Linked DNA regions of Macaca fascicularis. The main gene of each other region encodes a partner of the protein of the gene in region 2 in a complex. Links are inferred from orthologs where the notes say so. Each region holds a gene or a part of one and is shown on either strand. Other genes may lie near its edges. The genes, in order: ITGA2B, ITGB3, FLNA and SHC1.

Evidence for each region.
Region 1: the proteins of ITGB3 (region 2) and ITGA2B are in contact, whole or in part, in a cryo-EM structure (PDB 8GCE), measured with the Homo sapiens proteins. The link is inferred for Macaca fascicularis from reciprocal best matches to the Homo sapiens genes ITGB3 and ITGA2B. Residues at the interface, in NP_000203.2 of Homo sapiens: Ser188, Pro189, Tyr190, Tyr192, Ile193, Ser194, Pro195, Pro196, Tyr204, Asp205, Met206, Arg242, Asp243, Pro245, Lys279, His281, Ile282, Ala283, Leu284, Asp285, Arg287, Leu288, Ala289, Gly290, Val292, Gln293, Pro294, Asn295, Asp314, Tyr315; in NP_000410.2 of Homo sapiens: Gln49, Phe52, Arg72, Trp141, His143, Asn145, Glu152, Ala153, Glu154, Lys155, Pro157, Arg184, Phe191, Tyr197, Glu199, Phe202, Pro217, Tyr221, Phe222, Phe262, Asp263, Tyr265, Tyr268, Thr290, Trp293, Thr294, Gln315, Met316, Ala317, Tyr319.
Region 3: the proteins of ITGB3 (region 2) and FLNA are in contact, whole or in part, in an NMR structure (PDB 2MTP), measured with the Homo sapiens proteins. The link is inferred for Macaca fascicularis from reciprocal best matches to the Homo sapiens genes ITGB3 and FLNA. Residues at the interface, in NP_000203.2 of Homo sapiens: Lys742, Ile745, Thr746, Pro771, Leu772, Tyr773, Lys774, Glu775, Ala776, Thr777, Ser778, Thr779, Ile783, Tyr785, Arg786, Gly787, Thr788; in NP_001104026.1 of Homo sapiens: Gly2236, Arg2264, Ala2268, Gly2269, Gly2270, Leu2271, Ala2272, Ile2273, Ala2274, Val2275, Glu2276, Gly2277, Pro2278, Ser2279, Lys2280, Ala2281, Ile2283, Phe2285, Asp2287, Gly2291.
Region 4: the proteins of ITGB3 (region 2) and SHC1 are in contact, whole or in part, in an NMR structure (PDB 2L1C), measured with the Homo sapiens proteins. The link is inferred for Macaca fascicularis from reciprocal best matches to the Homo sapiens genes ITGB3 and SHC1. Residues at the interface, in NP_000203.2 of Homo sapiens: Trp765, Asp766, Thr767, Ala768, Pro771, Leu772, Tyr773, Lys774, Glu775, Ala776, Thr777, Ser778, Thr779, Phe780, Thr781, Asn782, Ile783, Thr784, Tyr785, Arg786, Gly787, Thr788; in NP_892113.4 of Homo sapiens: Ser175, Met176, Arg177, Asn182, Arg184, Thr185, Gln186, Thr188, Arg189, Glu190, Ser193, Leu194, Arg208, Arg209, Lys210, Arg214, Pro215, Leu216, Ser217, Ile219, Met257, Gln258, Ser259, Ile260, Ser261, Phe262, Ala263, Ser264, Gly265, Pro268.

Annotation. Positions count from the first base shown.
Region 1 is NC_088390.1:65,442,015-65,445,572, forward strand, and holds part of ITGA2B (integrin alpha-IIb), read right to left. Parts: intron 1,233-3,558; coding exon 1,050-1,232; intron 811-1,049; coding exon 765-810; intron 657-764; coding exon 552-656; intron 468-551; coding exon 412-467; intron 320-411; coding exon 168-319; intron 1-167. UniProt on the Homo sapiens protein: Integrin alpha-IIb/beta-3 is a receptor for fibronectin, fibrinogen, plasminogen, prothrombin, thrombospondin and vitronectin. It recognizes the sequence R-G-D in a wide array of ligands.
Region 2 is NC_088390.1:68,264,503-68,268,060, reverse strand, and holds part of ITGB3 (integrin beta-3), read right to left. Parts: intron 2,729-3,558; coding exon 2,633-2,728; intron 2,225-2,632; coding exon 2,135-2,224; intron 1,461-2,134; coding exon 1,326-1,460; intron 76-1,325; coding exon 1-75. UniProt on the Homo sapiens protein: Integrin alpha-V/beta-3 (ITGAV:ITGB3) is a receptor for cytotactin, fibronectin, laminin, matrix metalloproteinase-2, osteopontin, osteomodulin, prothrombin, thrombospondin, vitronectin and von Willebrand factor.
Region 3 is NC_088395.1:160,372,404-160,375,961, reverse strand, and holds part of FLNA (filamin-A), read right to left. Parts: coding exon 3,491-3,558; intron 2,796-3,490; coding exon 2,198-2,795; intron 2,108-2,197; coding exon 1,934-2,107; intron 1,849-1,933; coding exon 1,686-1,848; intron 1,609-1,685; coding exon 1,448-1,608; intron 1,357-1,447; coding exon 1,186-1,356; intron 796-1,185; coding exon 672-795; intron 581-671; coding exon 424-580; intron 1-423. UniProt on the Homo sapiens protein: Promotes orthogonal branching of actin filaments and links actin filaments to membrane glycoproteins. Anchors various transmembrane proteins to the actin cytoskeleton and serves as a scaffold for a wide range of cytoplasmic signaling proteins.
Region 4 is NC_088375.1:106,174,581-106,178,922, reverse strand, and holds the start of SHC1 (SHC-transforming protein 1), read right to left. Parts: upstream 2,806-4,342; 5' UTR 2,585-2,805; coding exon 2,090-2,584; intron 1,509-2,089; coding exon 1,438-1,508; intron 895-1,437; coding exon 831-894; intron 675-830; coding exon 555-674; intron 318-554; coding exon 264-317; intron 92-263; coding exon 40-91; intron 1-39. UniProt on the Homo sapiens protein: Signaling adapter that couples activated growth factor receptors to signaling pathways. Participates in a signaling cascade initiated by activated KIT and KITLG/SCF.

The DNA.
Region 1 (3,558 bases), about 2.8 Mb from region 2:
GTCAGGCCATCTTGCTGCCATACACATCCCACCTTCTGGCCAGTAGGCACCGTGTCCTGACTACCCCCGGACTCACAGCACCCAGCTCAGTACCCTGGGGCTGGAAGAACAAGTGCAGTGGGTGTGTTCTACTCGCCCAGCCCTGCCAATCCCCTGCCTGGGCGTACTCGAAGGAAGGCCATGGTGGTGTGGCAGATGGGGCTGTGCTTTCCGCCCAGATCCAGGTTCAGGGTGGTGCCTGCCTGTTGAGAGCCCAGCAGCAGCACCCGCCGGCCCTGGCGGGGCTTCTGCCGGTCCAACTGCAGCTCGGCATTTAGGGCTGGCAGGGCAAGCAGAAGAGTCAGGACCTCCCTGGCCAGCCTCCGGGGGAGTCCAAGCCCATCTCCCTCCTATCCCCTTCATGCCACTCACACAGCTTCTGAGGAATGTTGTGCCCAGTGGCTCCAACACACATCTGGATTTTGAAGCTGCAAAGACGTAAGTGGGGCTCAGGGGTTGGGGCCTTTCTGAGGTCCCAGATCCTTCAAGGCCCATGCCCTCTGCCTCCTCACCAGCTCACGGGTGTCTTGGTCTGGGGTAGGACACAGCTCTTCACAGCAGGATTCAGTGAATCTTGTACCAGTAGCTGGACGGAGGCCTTCACCACTGGCTGAGCTCTGATGGGATGGGGTGATGGGGTAGGCTTGCCACTGTGGCTCCTCCTGGCCTGGCCTCCTCTGATGGCATGGGACCTTCCCCATCCTGCCCCTGGAGCCAGCGCTTACCTGTACACAGCCACCTGGTTGGCCCCGTAAGCTCCCACAATCAGGTCTACAGACATCGAGGAAGGGGTCAGAATTGGCCATTAGAGAGGGCGTGGGATCCCTCATCTCATCTTCCCAGGGGTTTCCCCACACCACCTCCCCCACTGGAGGTTTCACCCAGCCCCTCTGGCAGTCCACAGTGGGACACCAGGCCAGCCATGAGCCCCTGGCTGTGTCTCTCGGCACTTCCAGCAAAAGTCCAAGGGCCTTTCTTGGGCATTTCTAACTGGAGGCAGTCTAGGGCACCTGGGTATCCGTTGTCATCGATGTCTACAGCACCTCGAAGGGAGAAGCCAAAGGCAGAGCCTGTGGGGAAGGGGCTGTCCAGGACCTGGGAGGGACGTGAACTCAGCCCCTCACTCTGACCCAGGAACACCAGCACTTGGCCCCGGCCACTGGGACCCCCGTAGGGGGCAGCCACTGCAATGTCTGGAAGAGTAACAGAAAGGGAGTGGCTGATTGTTATTCAGCCTCCCTAGATGACTGTAAAGCTTTCCTGAGCTTCTCTGGGCACATCCCAGGAGACCGGGAAAGGGGTACAAAGGGTAGGTGAAGGAGGCGCTGCCTTACCCTCCAGGAGTTGACAATCAGGTGGGAGAGGGACCTGCCAAGTAGGATTGTTATAAAAACAGTGACAACTCTCACTGTCTATTGAGGAAAATATATCCTGAAAATTAAGCATCATTATTCCTTTTTCTAAATTTATTATTATTATTATTATTATTTGAGATAGAGCCTTGCTCTGTTGTCCAGGCTGGAGTGCAGTGGTGCGATCTCGGCTCACTGCAACCTGTGCCTCCCCCGTTAAAGTGATTCTTGTGCCTCAGCCTCTCTAGTAGCTGGGATTACAGACGCCTACCACCATGCTCGGCTAATTTTTGTATTTTTAGTAGAAACAGGGTTTCACCACATTGGCCAGGCTGGTCTCGAACTCCTGACCTCAAGTGATCTGCTCACTTTGGGCTCCCAAAGTGCTGGGATTACAGGTGTGAGCCACCTTTTAACATTTTTTTATTTTTAAGACAGTCTTGCTCTGTCATTCAGGCTGGAGTGCAGTGGTGCAACCATGGCTTACTGCAGCCTCAACCTTCTGGGCTAAAGCGATCCTCCCACCTCAGCTTCCCAAGCAGTTGAGACTACAACCACCATGCCCAGCTAATTTTAAAAAAATTTTATAGAGACAAGATATCCCTGTGTTGCCCAGGCTGGTCTCAAACTCTTCGGCTCAAGTGATCCTCCTGCCTCGGCCTCCCAAAGTGCTGGGATTCCGGGTGTGAGCCACCGTGCCTGGCCATCTAGCATCTATTTCTAACCTCTCCATTCCATCAAGCTCCCAGCCCCGTCATTTCCTTCAGCAGGTGACATAATCCCTTACTTCAGGAAGAGAAGCAGCCCACTGTTATGCTATAATCCCATACTGACTTTCTTCCCGCTTCCCCATTTGACCCTGGAAGAGGTTTCCCTCCTTTACCCTGACACTGGGCCAGTCATCCTCCCACTCCCTGAGGCATCACAGGGACTCTCTGCTGGCTCATCCCCCCATTTCCCCACAACATCATTTTCAACCTACTCCATGTTCTTCCACATTGAAATAATCTTCCCTTGACCCTCATCTCTTTTCCATAATCACCTTTTCTCTTTTTCCTCTCATAGTCAAACATGTCCTTTTTTTTTTCTTTCTATTCCTCAAATTCCTTTTTACCACAAACCTGTTGAAAGAGCTGTTTACATTAGCTGCCTCCAATTTTTCACCTCCATTCATACCTTACCCAATTGCATTCTGGCTTTTGACCCTACCTTGACCTGAATCAATTTATGTCACTGTCACCAATAACCTCCTCCCCTCTTTTTCTTTCTTTCTTTCTTTTCTCTCTCTCTCTCTCTTTCTCTTTCTCTCTTTCTTTCTTTCGCTGACATGGAGTCTTGCTCTGTTGCCCATGCTGGAGTGCAGTAGTGGCGCGATCTCAGCTCAGTGCAACCTCCACTTCCTGGGTTCCAGAGATTCTCCTGCCTCAATTTCACAAGTAGCTGGGATTACAGGCATGAGCCATCGTGCCCGGCACCCTCTTCTTGCTAAAGCCCATGGATATTTCTCCAGCCCCATCGAATTGTACCTTGCAGCAGCATCAGGAGCTGCAGCACCCACTTCCTCCTGCACATGCTTTTTAACACATGCTCTTCCTTGAGTCCCTGGCCATCACACCCCCTGGGTTCCCTCCTCCCTCTCTGGACACTTCTCCGTCTCTTCCTCAGACTCACCTCCTGTATGAGTCACCTAAATGCTTTTGCTCCCCAGGGCTCTATCCTGGGCCTCTTCTAATTTCACAGGTCCCGGGACCTCATCCACTTTCCCCAAACCCCTGTCTCCCATTCAGATCGATCTTGTGGAAGCGGGGAAAGCCACTCCCACTGTTCTTTGGATATTTCTGCCTAAAGCACCCAAGCCCTTCAAGCTCAACAGGTCCAGAGCTAAACTGCTGATCTCCCACCTCTCCCCAGCACCTGCTGCACGGCCTGAGTTCCAGGCAGTGGAGGGCATCACAGGCACCCAACTCCAATCTCTCCCCTGGCCCCACATCCAGTCTCCCACCAAGTCCTAAGAATCCAAGTCCTAAATATCTGTGAAGTCACTCCCATCTCTAACTCCACTGCCAAAATCCACATCCAGGTGGTCATTGTCTCTTGCCCGGATTAAGGCAAACACATCCTAATTAGTCTCCTTCATCTCTCCCATCTGCTCTCCATTTAGCACCCC
Region 2 (3,558 bases):
CACGGGCTTGATGGTAAAGGACTTCTCCTTCTCCTGGGGGCAGCCTCGCACCTTGGCCTCAATGCTGAAGCTCACCTGGATGGAAAGCAAGATTGTATTTAGACACAGTTGGGCCCAGTTAACACTCCAGCTCTGGAGGGAAAAAAAAGTTGTTCCCTGCCCTGCCAAGGAATACCCAAATTGGGTGTCTTATGCTTTTGCAATATGGAGTTCCTCAGGCTTTGTGGAAGGTCTGCAAAGCAAACCTTCCACAGGTTCCACAGACCTCCACCTCTGTGAAGGTCTGCAAAGCAAAAACACAAGCACGGGAATAGTATCATTGTGACATATGTAGCTGGATGCAGAGACATGGTCTACAGTCAATAAATAATAAAAGGCTGTTTTTTTACTTCACGTGTGAAATAGACCAGCTGAAACTGAACAGAACCTGTGATCATATAAACACCCTGCTCTGGCCAGCTAAGCAAGCTGGACTGATTATAATTATCAGCAAGATGCACAAAGCACTGTTTTGCACCACACAATCCCACATAGTGGTCAACCATAAGCTCAGGATCTACTTCAATTTCCACACATTTTATAGTTTATGCAATAAAGCATGTTTCAGGACAATATTTCTAACATGGGATGTTTGCACAAGTGCCTGAAAGATAGATAGATTAAGAGAAAGGATCACTGCATCCAAAGATCTATTTTCTTCCCCTCCTTCCTCCCCTCCCACCAACTCCTCTCCCCTTAGGCAGAAGCAGAGGAGAAACGACCGATAAGGAAAGTCGTGGAGGGACTGGATGGTGAAATGAACATCTGGCTTCAAAAATTCCATGAGGGTAGGTACTCTTGCCTTTTCCATTTGCTGCTAAATTCTCGGCAACTAGAACAATGCCTGACACAATGTCAGTGCTCAATAAATATTTATAGATGATGTCGTCGTTTTACATTTTAGATTTTACTTTCCTGTGTCATTTTACAAAAGAAAGGTATTAATTACCTTGGGAAAGCTGGAGACTGGTGAGGGACTGAAGGTAAAGAAATATTTTCCTTTGCAATCAACTGTGCATACACAAACAAAGGTAACCAAATTGTAAGTTTTTTAAATTCCTAAGAGTTAAGTTCACGTAACAGAAATAGCTTATGCAACAGAAGCCCCAGAGGAAAAGATTGGTGGATCCATTACATCTAACTTGAAATGACTTTCAGGAAAGGTATTTTTCCTGCCCATATTTTTTCTGGCGGAAGGGGGCCATTTTTAGTCATTACAAAAAGAAGAAAGGGGGTTGGGTGCTCACAGATGCTCCAGTACAAAGGCCCTGCCCAGCCCATCTCACCGTGTCTCCAATCTTGAGTCCCATACAAGACTTGAGGCCAGGGATGACCTCATTGTTGAGGCAGGTGGCATTGAAGGATAGAGACAATTCTTCAGGGAGGTCACGCACTTCCAGCTCGACTTTAGAGCGGATTTTCTGAGCACAAAGGGGCACAAGAAGACAAGAAAATGAACTGAAAGGAAATGGGAAATGGCAAGAGCCAGTTCCATCCCAAACCAAATCTGCCAAGTAGCTCTGGACTTACCCCAGCAGTGCCAGAGGCCAAGGTTTGACCTGGAAGCTGCCGGAGCACCCCTAGGACTCTGTTTCCTCCTCTGTTTCCTGCACAGGAACCTGCTCCCTCTTTCCATCTCCACTTGCGTCTAGGTGAGTCTGGGTAAAATGTACCAGCTACACCCTCCCGCACGCCTCACAGATGTTGCGAAAGGGGAGTACTGGTCACCTTGGAAAGCAGCATTTTCTACCTAATGTTTCATCAACCTCACCTTCCCCATGTCTCAGCTCTCTCTTTTCCCTGTTATTGGAGCCCAGTTTTCCCTCACTCTGCCCCAATTCCAGGGCTCTGCTCCTTCTCCAACTAATCACCATCCCCATCCCCATCCCCTTTCTTTCTTTCTTTCTGGGCTACTTCCTTCTCAGAAGGCTGCATCCCTTCTAGAGCAGACCACTGCCTGGCCTCTGGGAGCACACGGAGAAGGCAGTAAGATCGTGTGGTAGACTGGCACCTGGGACTCACAAACCTGAGCCCTGCTGTGTAAGCCAAATGAGGTGGACTCTCCGCAGGACTATTCCCAGCACAAGACACTTACCCCATAAGCATCAACAATGAGCTGGAGGACATTGCTGGAATCCATGGACAGAACCCCGACTGTGGTCCCTGGGATGAGCTCACTATAGTTCTAGAAAGGACGACAAAGATGTCCAGAGCTTACCGAAGGAAGGTGGTGGTCTCCTAAAGCCCTCCTCAAATCCCACTGAGAGTCCTGAGATGAAGATTGGAGGAAGGTATGGGATATTTCAGTGGTCACTGCCAGGAATATATCTAGCAGTTTTTCAGCCCTGAGCAAAAGTAGAGGAAGCCTCTCATACCCTTTGCCACCTCCCCTCCATCACCACAAACACCAGCACACACCTCGTAAGTTCAAGGTTGCAGGAAAAAGGCCCAGAGTGCAATCTTTAGCTCCTGGGCAGTGGATTAGGGGAGAGTCTTTCCTGGTTGGGGACTATGGCCAACGCTAGCACAGGCTGGCTACCTGGGGCTCCCACCATCACAGGGCCCACTCCAGGAAGCCCGAAGGCACAGTCACCTGATAGAGATTGACTACATTTTCAGTCACTGCAAAGATCAAATTGATGTTTTTCTGGGAGAGCTTCTCAGTCATCAGCCCCAAAGAGGGATAATCCTAGAAAAATGAAGGATGTAGAAGTTAATGAAGTGCCATGTACATCCCTAGGGTCTAAACCTTAGAACTTATCTTGCTTGGGCTGTGGCTCAGAGAGTTGTGGTGCTTAAACCTTTTCACTTCATGCTGAAAGTGAGACAAGAGCCTGGGCAACATAGCAAGGCCCCATCTCTACAAAAAAAAAAAAAAATTTAATTTGCCAGATGTGGTGGTAAGTGCCTACAGTCCTAGCTACTGGGTAAGCTGAGGCAGGAGGATCGCTTCAGCCCAGGAGTTGGAGGTTACAGTGAGCTATGACTGCACCACTGCACTCCAGCCCAGGCAGCAGAGCAAGACTCTGTCTCTAAAACTAAAAAAAGAGTGGGGGGCGGGGGGTACAGTGAGACAAGAAGGGTAAGTAGCACAGAAGTCTACTTGTGAACTCCAGGGATAGACAAAGAGGTGCAGGCCAGTGGTGTCAAAACTAAGCACCTCTTTCTTCCTGCTTGAATTTAATGCACTAATACAATGGAGCTGCTTCCCTGCACAAGGCACTGGGTTAGGCCTCTGTTTTGGAACTACTGACCGATGCCTTGGCCTGGCCCTCATGATCCTCCACCGTGTGGTCTCAGTCTTTCTTTCCAAATATTACTCACCTCTCTCCCTCTTCCACTCAGCAGTGATCTGGTCCACTGTCTCCCACCTGGAGTTGCCTTCTTGTTGGTAATCCTCCTCCTTTCTTAGGGCCCAGCTTAGGCCCCACCTCCTTCAGGAGACTTCCTTGGCCATCCCAGCTCATGATGAGCTTTCCTCCCGTGGATACGTATAGCCCACTTTGGCTTTGCCACACC
Region 3 (3,558 bases), on a different chromosome or scaffold from region 2:
CAGAGTCCAGAATGGAGACTAAAACATCCCACACTCCCCACATGACAATAGGCACAGCCAGGGAGCTTGGCACCCATCCTCAGCCCCAGGGCCTGTCCAGCACTAGGAGGAGCTCACCTGGGTGTTCTCAAGTTTTTATCCTATACCTGCCCCATGAGAATATTACAGGTGGGGAAACTGAGGCACAAAAGGCTTTGGTGACATGCTCAAAGTTAACAGCAAGTGCATGTCTGGGGAAGCCTGTGCCTGTCACCACTATCCTAAGGTAGTCACAACCTTAGCGAACCAAAGACAGGGGCCCTGTCCTTCCCTGCCCTCCTTGGTGCAGCTCCCCAGGGATATCAGACACTGGCCACCACAGCCCACACTCCAGCCTCCCAGGCCCAGGCCCCCTTGCCTCCCCTGCTTGTTCCTGGAGCTCACCGTGATCTGGACAGCCAGCAGGCCCTCCCCAGCATCCTTTGCATCGATGGTGAACTCCACGGGCAGGCTGGCGGGCACGCCAGTGGTGTTGAGTCCGGGGCCACTGGCCTTCACCTTGCTGGCATCATGAGTAGGCAGCACCTTGACCTTGAAGGGGCTGTGGGTATGGGTGTTGTGACGAGCAGTCAGACAGGTTCTCAACATCCAGCCTGGGCTACTCCCCACAGGCAGCAGGCCCTGCCTCTTACCTCCGGGGCACCTCTTCATCTCCATACAGTACTGAGATGCTGTAGGGCCCTTCTCGGCTGGGCACATAATTGACAGTCTGGGTGCCATCAGCGTTGTCCACCACGTCCACTGGCTCCACCAGGCCTGGCCCCAGCCCCAGGGACAGAGCCTCAGCTAGTCTCCTAGGCCTCCATTCCTATCCCACCACACTGGACTGCCAGGACCCAGCCCCAGGCCTAGACCTCGCTTTATCCTCATCCGCCCGACCCTGGGAATAGCCTTGACCCCCTCTGACACAAGACACCCATCTGGGTGCCAGCTGGGAACCTTGCCCGCCTGCCTTCCTGCCACATCTGCTCAGTGACCAAGTCCCATCTGCTCTACCTCCTCTAAGTCCCCTCCTGGATGCACTGTCATCTGAGGCTCTTCCGAAAACACCTGTACACTTGCACTCTGGGCCTCCAGTCTCCTTTCCCAGCCCTCAAAGAGGACACTGCCCTCCCGACCCCCGGCTCCAGGCATGCAAACACTCACCTTTGGGCCCTTGCACTTTGACCTGCAGTGGGGCCACACCAGCCTTGCTTGTGTCCACCTGGAAGGACTGAGGAAGGTTGGCACGAACCATGCCTGGGCTCAGGCCGGGCCCAGAGCACTTGACCTTGGACGCATCTGTCACATCATGCACAGGGACCTTGAAAGGACTGCCTGAGGGTTGGGGCAAAGGTATGGCAGCTGTATGAGACAGGGTGGGGTGGAGCAGACAGTCCCAGCCCTGCCCTGGCTGCCACCTCCTCACCTGGCACTTGATGGCCACCATAGGTGACATTGAGGCTGTAGGTGCCAGCCTCATAAGGAATGTACTCAACTGAGCAGCTGCCATCCTTGTTATCCATGCAGGACATCTTGGCCTCGGAGGGGCCCTCTACAGCCAGGCCCAGGCCGCCCGTGCCAGCTCCCCTGGTCCAAACAGACAGCCGGTCATTCCTGGGGTTCCCAGGCCTACTGGCCACCCAGGCTCCTGGGGGCTCCCTCACCTGGTCTCCACAGTGAACTTGTTGGGCTTGTTGGTGGTGCCACTTTGGATGCCTGGCCCATGGACACGCACCCGGGAGGGGTCGCAGCCCTCAGTCACGGGCACCTGGAAGGGGCTGCTGGGCACGGGGCTGCCGTCGTAGGTCACGTCCACCGAGTGCAGTCCTGGAGGAGTGCAGGCCAGGTCAGGAGGAGCCCGGGCCACCCCACCCACCACCGTCCACCAGCCTGTGGGAGCCCCAGCACGCACCCTCCTCGTAAGGCGTGTACTCCACTTTGTACGTGCCGTCGCCTCGGTCCTGAACGTAGGTCTCTGTCAGGTTGCCTGAGGGGTTGGCCACACGGGCCTTGACGTGCGGCCCTCCGGTCTGTGTCAGAGCCCGGGCGTCCACACTGAACTCAGTGGTGGCCTCACGGAAGACACCTGCAAAGGGACACAGAGAGGAGGCTTGGGGCTCTGGGGTTCTGGTCCCTGTGTCCCCGCTGCCACATACCCCACGGCAGGGCAACTCACCCTGGCCCTCAATCCCAGGCCCGTAACACTGGACGCCGGAAGTGTCCACTGCGGGCTCCACCTGCAGCTTGCTGGGGAAGTTGGGCACAGGCTGGCCGCCGTACTTGATGGTGACAGTGTAGGCCCCGGGGCAGAGAGGAATGTATGTGATAGTGTGCGTGCCGTCGCCGTGGTCCTGGATGTACACCTCGGCTGGCAGCCCCGCCTCTGAGCAGATCTCAATGGTCAGCTCTGCACTGCCTGCACTCGAGCAGTCTACTTGGAATTGGCCCACTTCCCCAGCGGTGGCCCGCTCCAGCCCAGGGCCTGAGCACTTGACTTTGGATGCGTCAAAGCAGGGAACCACATGGGCCTTGAATGGGGAGCCAGGGATGTGGGTGTCAGCGAAGAGGATGTTGATGTTGTAGTCCCCGGGCTCGGTGGGCACATAGGACACGGAACATGTGCCGTCCCCGTTGTCCAAGCACTCGAGCTGTGCCTCGCAGGGGCCCTCCACTGTCAAGCCCAGGCCACCTGTGCCGGCGCCCTTGGTGTCAATGGTGAAGCGGGCGGGGGAGCCTGCACTGCCTCCCTGCAGCCCCGGCCCAAACGCCTTCACCTGAGGGAAGAAGGGGTCAGGAGCCAAGGCCATGCTATGCCCCTGACCCCAGACCTCCTGCCTGACTCTCCACCTGCCTCCCCTTGCCCTGGCTTCCTGCCCTCACCAAACAGGGATGCTGGCGGGCCCAGGCTGCCTGCCAGATGGGCCATCCATCAGTCATAAGGACAAAAAGGAGGGACGGGCGCGGTGGCTCACACTTATAATCCCAGCCCTTTGGGAGGCCAAGGCAGGTGGATCACCTGAGATCAGGAGTTTGAGAACAGCCTGGCCAACATGGTGAAATCTCGTCTCTACTAAAAATACAAAAATTAGCCAGGCGTGGTGGCAGGCACCTGTAACCCCAGCTACTTGGGAGGCTGAGGCAGGAGTATCGCTTAAAGCCGGGAGGCAGAAGGTGCAGTGAGCTGAGATCACGCCAGTGCACTTCAGCCTGGGCGACAGAGTGAGACTCTTTCTCAAAAAAAAGAAAAAAAAAAAAAGAAACAAAAATGCTTTAACCCTGATGACTTTTTGTGGGTTTCTATTTCCCTCCTCCCCTTTACTCTCACTTAAACTGGGTCAAGGTTAACAGTCTGTCTCAGAAAAAAAAAAAAAAGGAGGATTGAGGGCAGGTCTGGAGAAGATGGGGTGCTCTCTGGGCCCTCAGAGAACACAGTAGGTTCTACCCTTAGGGCCTCCCATACCCCAGTTACCTTGCTAGGCTTGGTAGGGGCCACAGCTTCCACAGGAAAGGGGCTGCCAGGCACAGGCACGCCGTCAT
Region 4 (4,342 bases), on a different chromosome or scaffold from region 2:
AACAGCCAGACCCACCCAGTGCTCCCCACCATGCCTCACCTCTCTGATTCACAGGGTCTTTGGCAACGTAGGCGACATACTCGGCTGTGTCCTGGGGAGGAAGGTCAGAAAATTTTACAGTTCCACTTTACTCCTGACCCCTAAAACCCAGTCCTTTTCAGATATCCCCACAGTCCTAGCACCCCCACTTCTCTAATCAATGTCTTCCCAATCACTAGCCCCTTGCTCTTCTCCCACCACCTTTGCTCTGTTCCCCAACTCACCGGATCCCCGCCGGATGCAAATGAGATAGATTGCATGTGGTGGTTGGCGATGATCTGAGAATTAGGGGAGGGGATGGAGAAGGAAGGGAATGCCATGTGTCAGGCAGCCTCAGGGCCCAGAACCCTGGTGCCCCAGTCTCATTCTCTGGGTTCCTTATCCCATATCCTCATTTCCTCCTTCCCTACTGGTCTTCTGCTCTCAAGCCCTCTTCCTAGTTTTTGGCCTCCTAACTAGATCTCCCCTTAGCACCCCCATCGGTGTTTCTGGTCCACCTGCCCACCTCCACCAACCTGTTTGCAGTCTGCGGCCATGAGGTTGAGGCTGCTGGTGGAGACGGTGAGAGTGATTGGCATTCCAGCAAATTTCAGATTACTCCTCCCCAGGATAGAGCTGAGCGGGCGGCTACAGGGCTAAGGTAGGGCCCAGGGTCTTAGAAGGTGAGGGTTCCCAGCACAGACAAACCATACTCTTGTCTCCTGGCCCTCTCCCCACATGCCCCACACTTGCCTCCTCACTGTCCCTCCACATTTCCCAGCAGCATCCCTATCCCCAAGGACCCCAAGTACCTTTCTCCTCCTTGTCGCCCCCTTAGCACCCGGCACAGCCTCACACACCAGACTGATGGCCTCCCTGGGGAAAGAGGGGTACTCAGACCCAGCGCCTGCCTGCCTGCCTCCCACTCAACTGGGGCTGCCACAGAGCTGGGGGAGGGGAAAGCCAGGCCAGACTCCCAGGGCACTCCAGGCTCTTTGTCGTGGTGGATTGAATTAAGGGCCTTTAATATTTGATGACACTGAGAGGCCGCTTCCTGGCTGATTGGGTTAGGGCCTCAATGGGTATAGCCCCACCCCCTTCCAGCTACCAAATGTCCCATTCCCTTCCCAAAGGCAGCAGCAACCTTCCATCTACCCCCATTTGCTACTCCAGCTCCACCTGCCAGCTGCTTCTGCTACCTTCCCCACAACTCCCAAGGCTGGACAGGTAAGGAGGATCCGGGCCAGAGGGGCCTCCTTTCAGTAAGAGGCAGAATCACTATCCCAGCTTTCTCTCAATCCCCTTTACTACCCAAAGATCAGCCCCAACCAGCAGCACCCAAGTGACCCACTCCCCTCCGCCCTTTCCCATGGCCTCACTAATCCCAGGACTCCCACAGTCCACTCCCTCCCCACTAACCTGGTAACCTGAGTCCGGGTGTTGAAGTCCAGGGCACGCATTGACTGAAGGACCTCCACACAGCCCATGTACTAAGGGGAGGGAGGAGAGGACAGCAGGTCAGCCGCTCCCTGACCCCAGTCCCTTCACAAAGGGCCCTAGGACTTTGCCCATATGGTCCCTAAGAGAAGTAAAGAGGAAGAAGTTCTGCCCTCTTCCGTGTCTACATCCCACAACCAAGGTGAAAGACAACAGGGAACGAGCAGAGAAAGAAAAGGCAGGCTAGAAGGACCTCACGCACTGGGGAGAGAGTTTGGAGGGGACTGACAGGCACTGACTGGGATGGAGCAACAACTCCAGAAAGCGAGAGGAGAATGGAGGAAAGGATCAAGAAGTCACTCCTTCCAGCACTTATTAAGAGCTTCTGCCATGCTGGGCATTGTGCTAAGCATGGCAGGGTGGGGGTAGGGGAGTCAAAAGAAGGAAGGGGGCCCAGGCAGAGCTGGAAGGGAAAGGGCTACAGAATTGGGGAAGGGATGGGAAAGGTTTAGGAAATAGAACACTGAAACAGGGTTGTTGGGGAACAGCAGGAAAAAAGAATTCCAGCCAAGCTGGAGTGAGCAGAAGAACTGGAGGGGTCTGGGAGGCAATGGAAAGGAGGATGTTCACTCACCCGAACCAAGTAGGAAACCCCGGGTCCCATGACTTTGTCGTTGGGATGCAGCCAGCCCCGCGTGGGCTTATTGACAAAGCTCCCGTGGCGGGTCCACTCCTCGCCCCCCAGCTGGCCCCCTTCCACCCGAGTCCTGCGCCCGCCGCCTCCACTCAGCTTGTTCATGTCCTGGAGGAGGGGTAGGGGGCCTGAGTCTGGCATGGCTGCCCCTACGATCCCCTCCCCATCATCGGCTGCCCTTCCTGGCTCCCCCTTAGACCCTGGGCGCCCCCCAGCCGGGTTGGCCAGCCTCAGGTTGCTCATCCGGGGGAAGAAGGAGCACAGAGTAGTGGGACTATCGTCCCCAGGCAGAGGAGGCAGGATGGGCCCCAGGGATGAAGCTGATGGGGAAGGCAGCTCCTCCGGGGGGGTGGACCCTGAAGCCCCCTCCTCCAGCGATGACAGAGACTCATTCCGGAGTGGATTGTACTTGGGCTTGGGGGGCAGGAGATCCATAGCTGAGGTGAGAGAGGGGCTGCTGCCCGGCCTGGCCCCCCTGCCAGTTTGGGCAAGGGGGCCAGGCAGGGGGTATTCCCAGGCCCTTAGCCTGGTCGGACCTCTGTGGCCCAGGAGTCACAGAAGTCCTGGGGAGGGAGAGGGACAAGTGGCTTCCGCTCCCCAGCTCAGACCCAGACAGTTTCGGGCCCCATCCCCGCCCAACGTGGAGCCTCTTCTCTGGCTGAGAAGAGAACAGGCTGGACCCAGAGCTGCCTGGCTCCTCCCCAGGGGCGGAGAGCTAAAGGGAGAGACCAATCACGAGGACAGTGCTGACTCACAGGCTCAGAGGGGCTGAGCCCCCACCCCGCCCCAACCTCGGACTGGAGCAGAGGGTAGGGCTATCCAAGCTCCTCTCCCCTGCCCTACACAAACAACTAGTAATCTGGGGAGAAGGAAAGTGGGGGTGGGAGGGAAGCATGGAGGAGTTGGATGGAAAGAAAGGAGATAGGAGGTCTGGGTCACTCGAAACCGGACACAGGCAGGCCAAAGGGGGCAGGAAGCCAGGCTAGAGTAGAGGGGAATGAGGGAGGAAACAGAGGCAGCTGCGGGTGGAAAAGGGAGGAGATCTCAGAGCTCAGCATTTCCCTTCCTGTTCTGGTTGGACACTCGAATTCCCCACCCTCCAGCCCAGGCCACCCCCAACCACTACCCCATACAGTAAGCCTGGGCCATTAGCATCCTCTGCTACGACAGCTGTGGACTGGAGCTAGCGAAGTGGGGATGGGAAGGAAGTGGTCCCAATGGATGCAGAGCAGGGTCAAGAGGAGAAGCAAAGTTGGTGAAAAAAGGGGAATAAAGTCCAACCTGGATGGTACATCAGGAAGCTACCAGGCAAGAGGGGAACAAGAGGACATGCTGGTCACGGCTTGTTCTCTATGTATGCCATCTACCACACCAAGACCCATGGCTCATAGCCAAGCACTGTCCTCTCCCCTTTCCACAGGCCTTGTTAACACAGCACACTGTCAAGGGTGAGAATGAGGCAATCAGGTCCCCACTCCCACTCCAAACCACCCCAATTCATATCCCTCCTCTTACAGGACCCAAAGCCCCACCAAACAGCACAGTGTCCCTCACACCAGGGGAGGAGCCTGGCTGGAGGAGGTGGAAGAAACAGTTCTCCAAGAGAAGCAGAAACGACAGGCCAGGAAGGGACAGAGAGATCAGAAGACACATCTGTGTCAATAAGAACAGGAGAAAAAACAAGTAAGCACAGGAGAAAGGGGTGTCAGGAGAAGATGGGTTGAAGCTGGACACAGGGAACAGTCCCAAACTCATTCCTGCCACCCACGGCTTCCTGCCACTGCTCTTCTGGAGAATGCCATAGGCAAAGCTGGAAAGCGACCAAAAAACAAAAAACAAGTTAAAGATACATATTCCCGCTGGGTAAGGTGGCTCACACCTGTAATCCCAGCACTTTGGGAGGCCGAGGCGGGTGGATCACCTGAAGTCAGAAGATTGAGACCAGCCTGGTCAACATGGTGAAACCCCGTCTCTACTAAAACTACAAAAATTAGCTGGGCGTGGTGGTGAGCACCTGTAATCCCAGCTCGGGAGGCTGAGGCAGGAGAATCGCTTGAACCCAGGAGGTGGAGGTTGCAGTGAGCTGAGATCGTGCCATTGCACTCCAGCCTGGGTGACAAGAGCAAAACTCTGCCTCAAAAAAAAAAAAAAAAAAAATGTATTCACCCAAGCTCACCTTGGAATTGCCCTTAG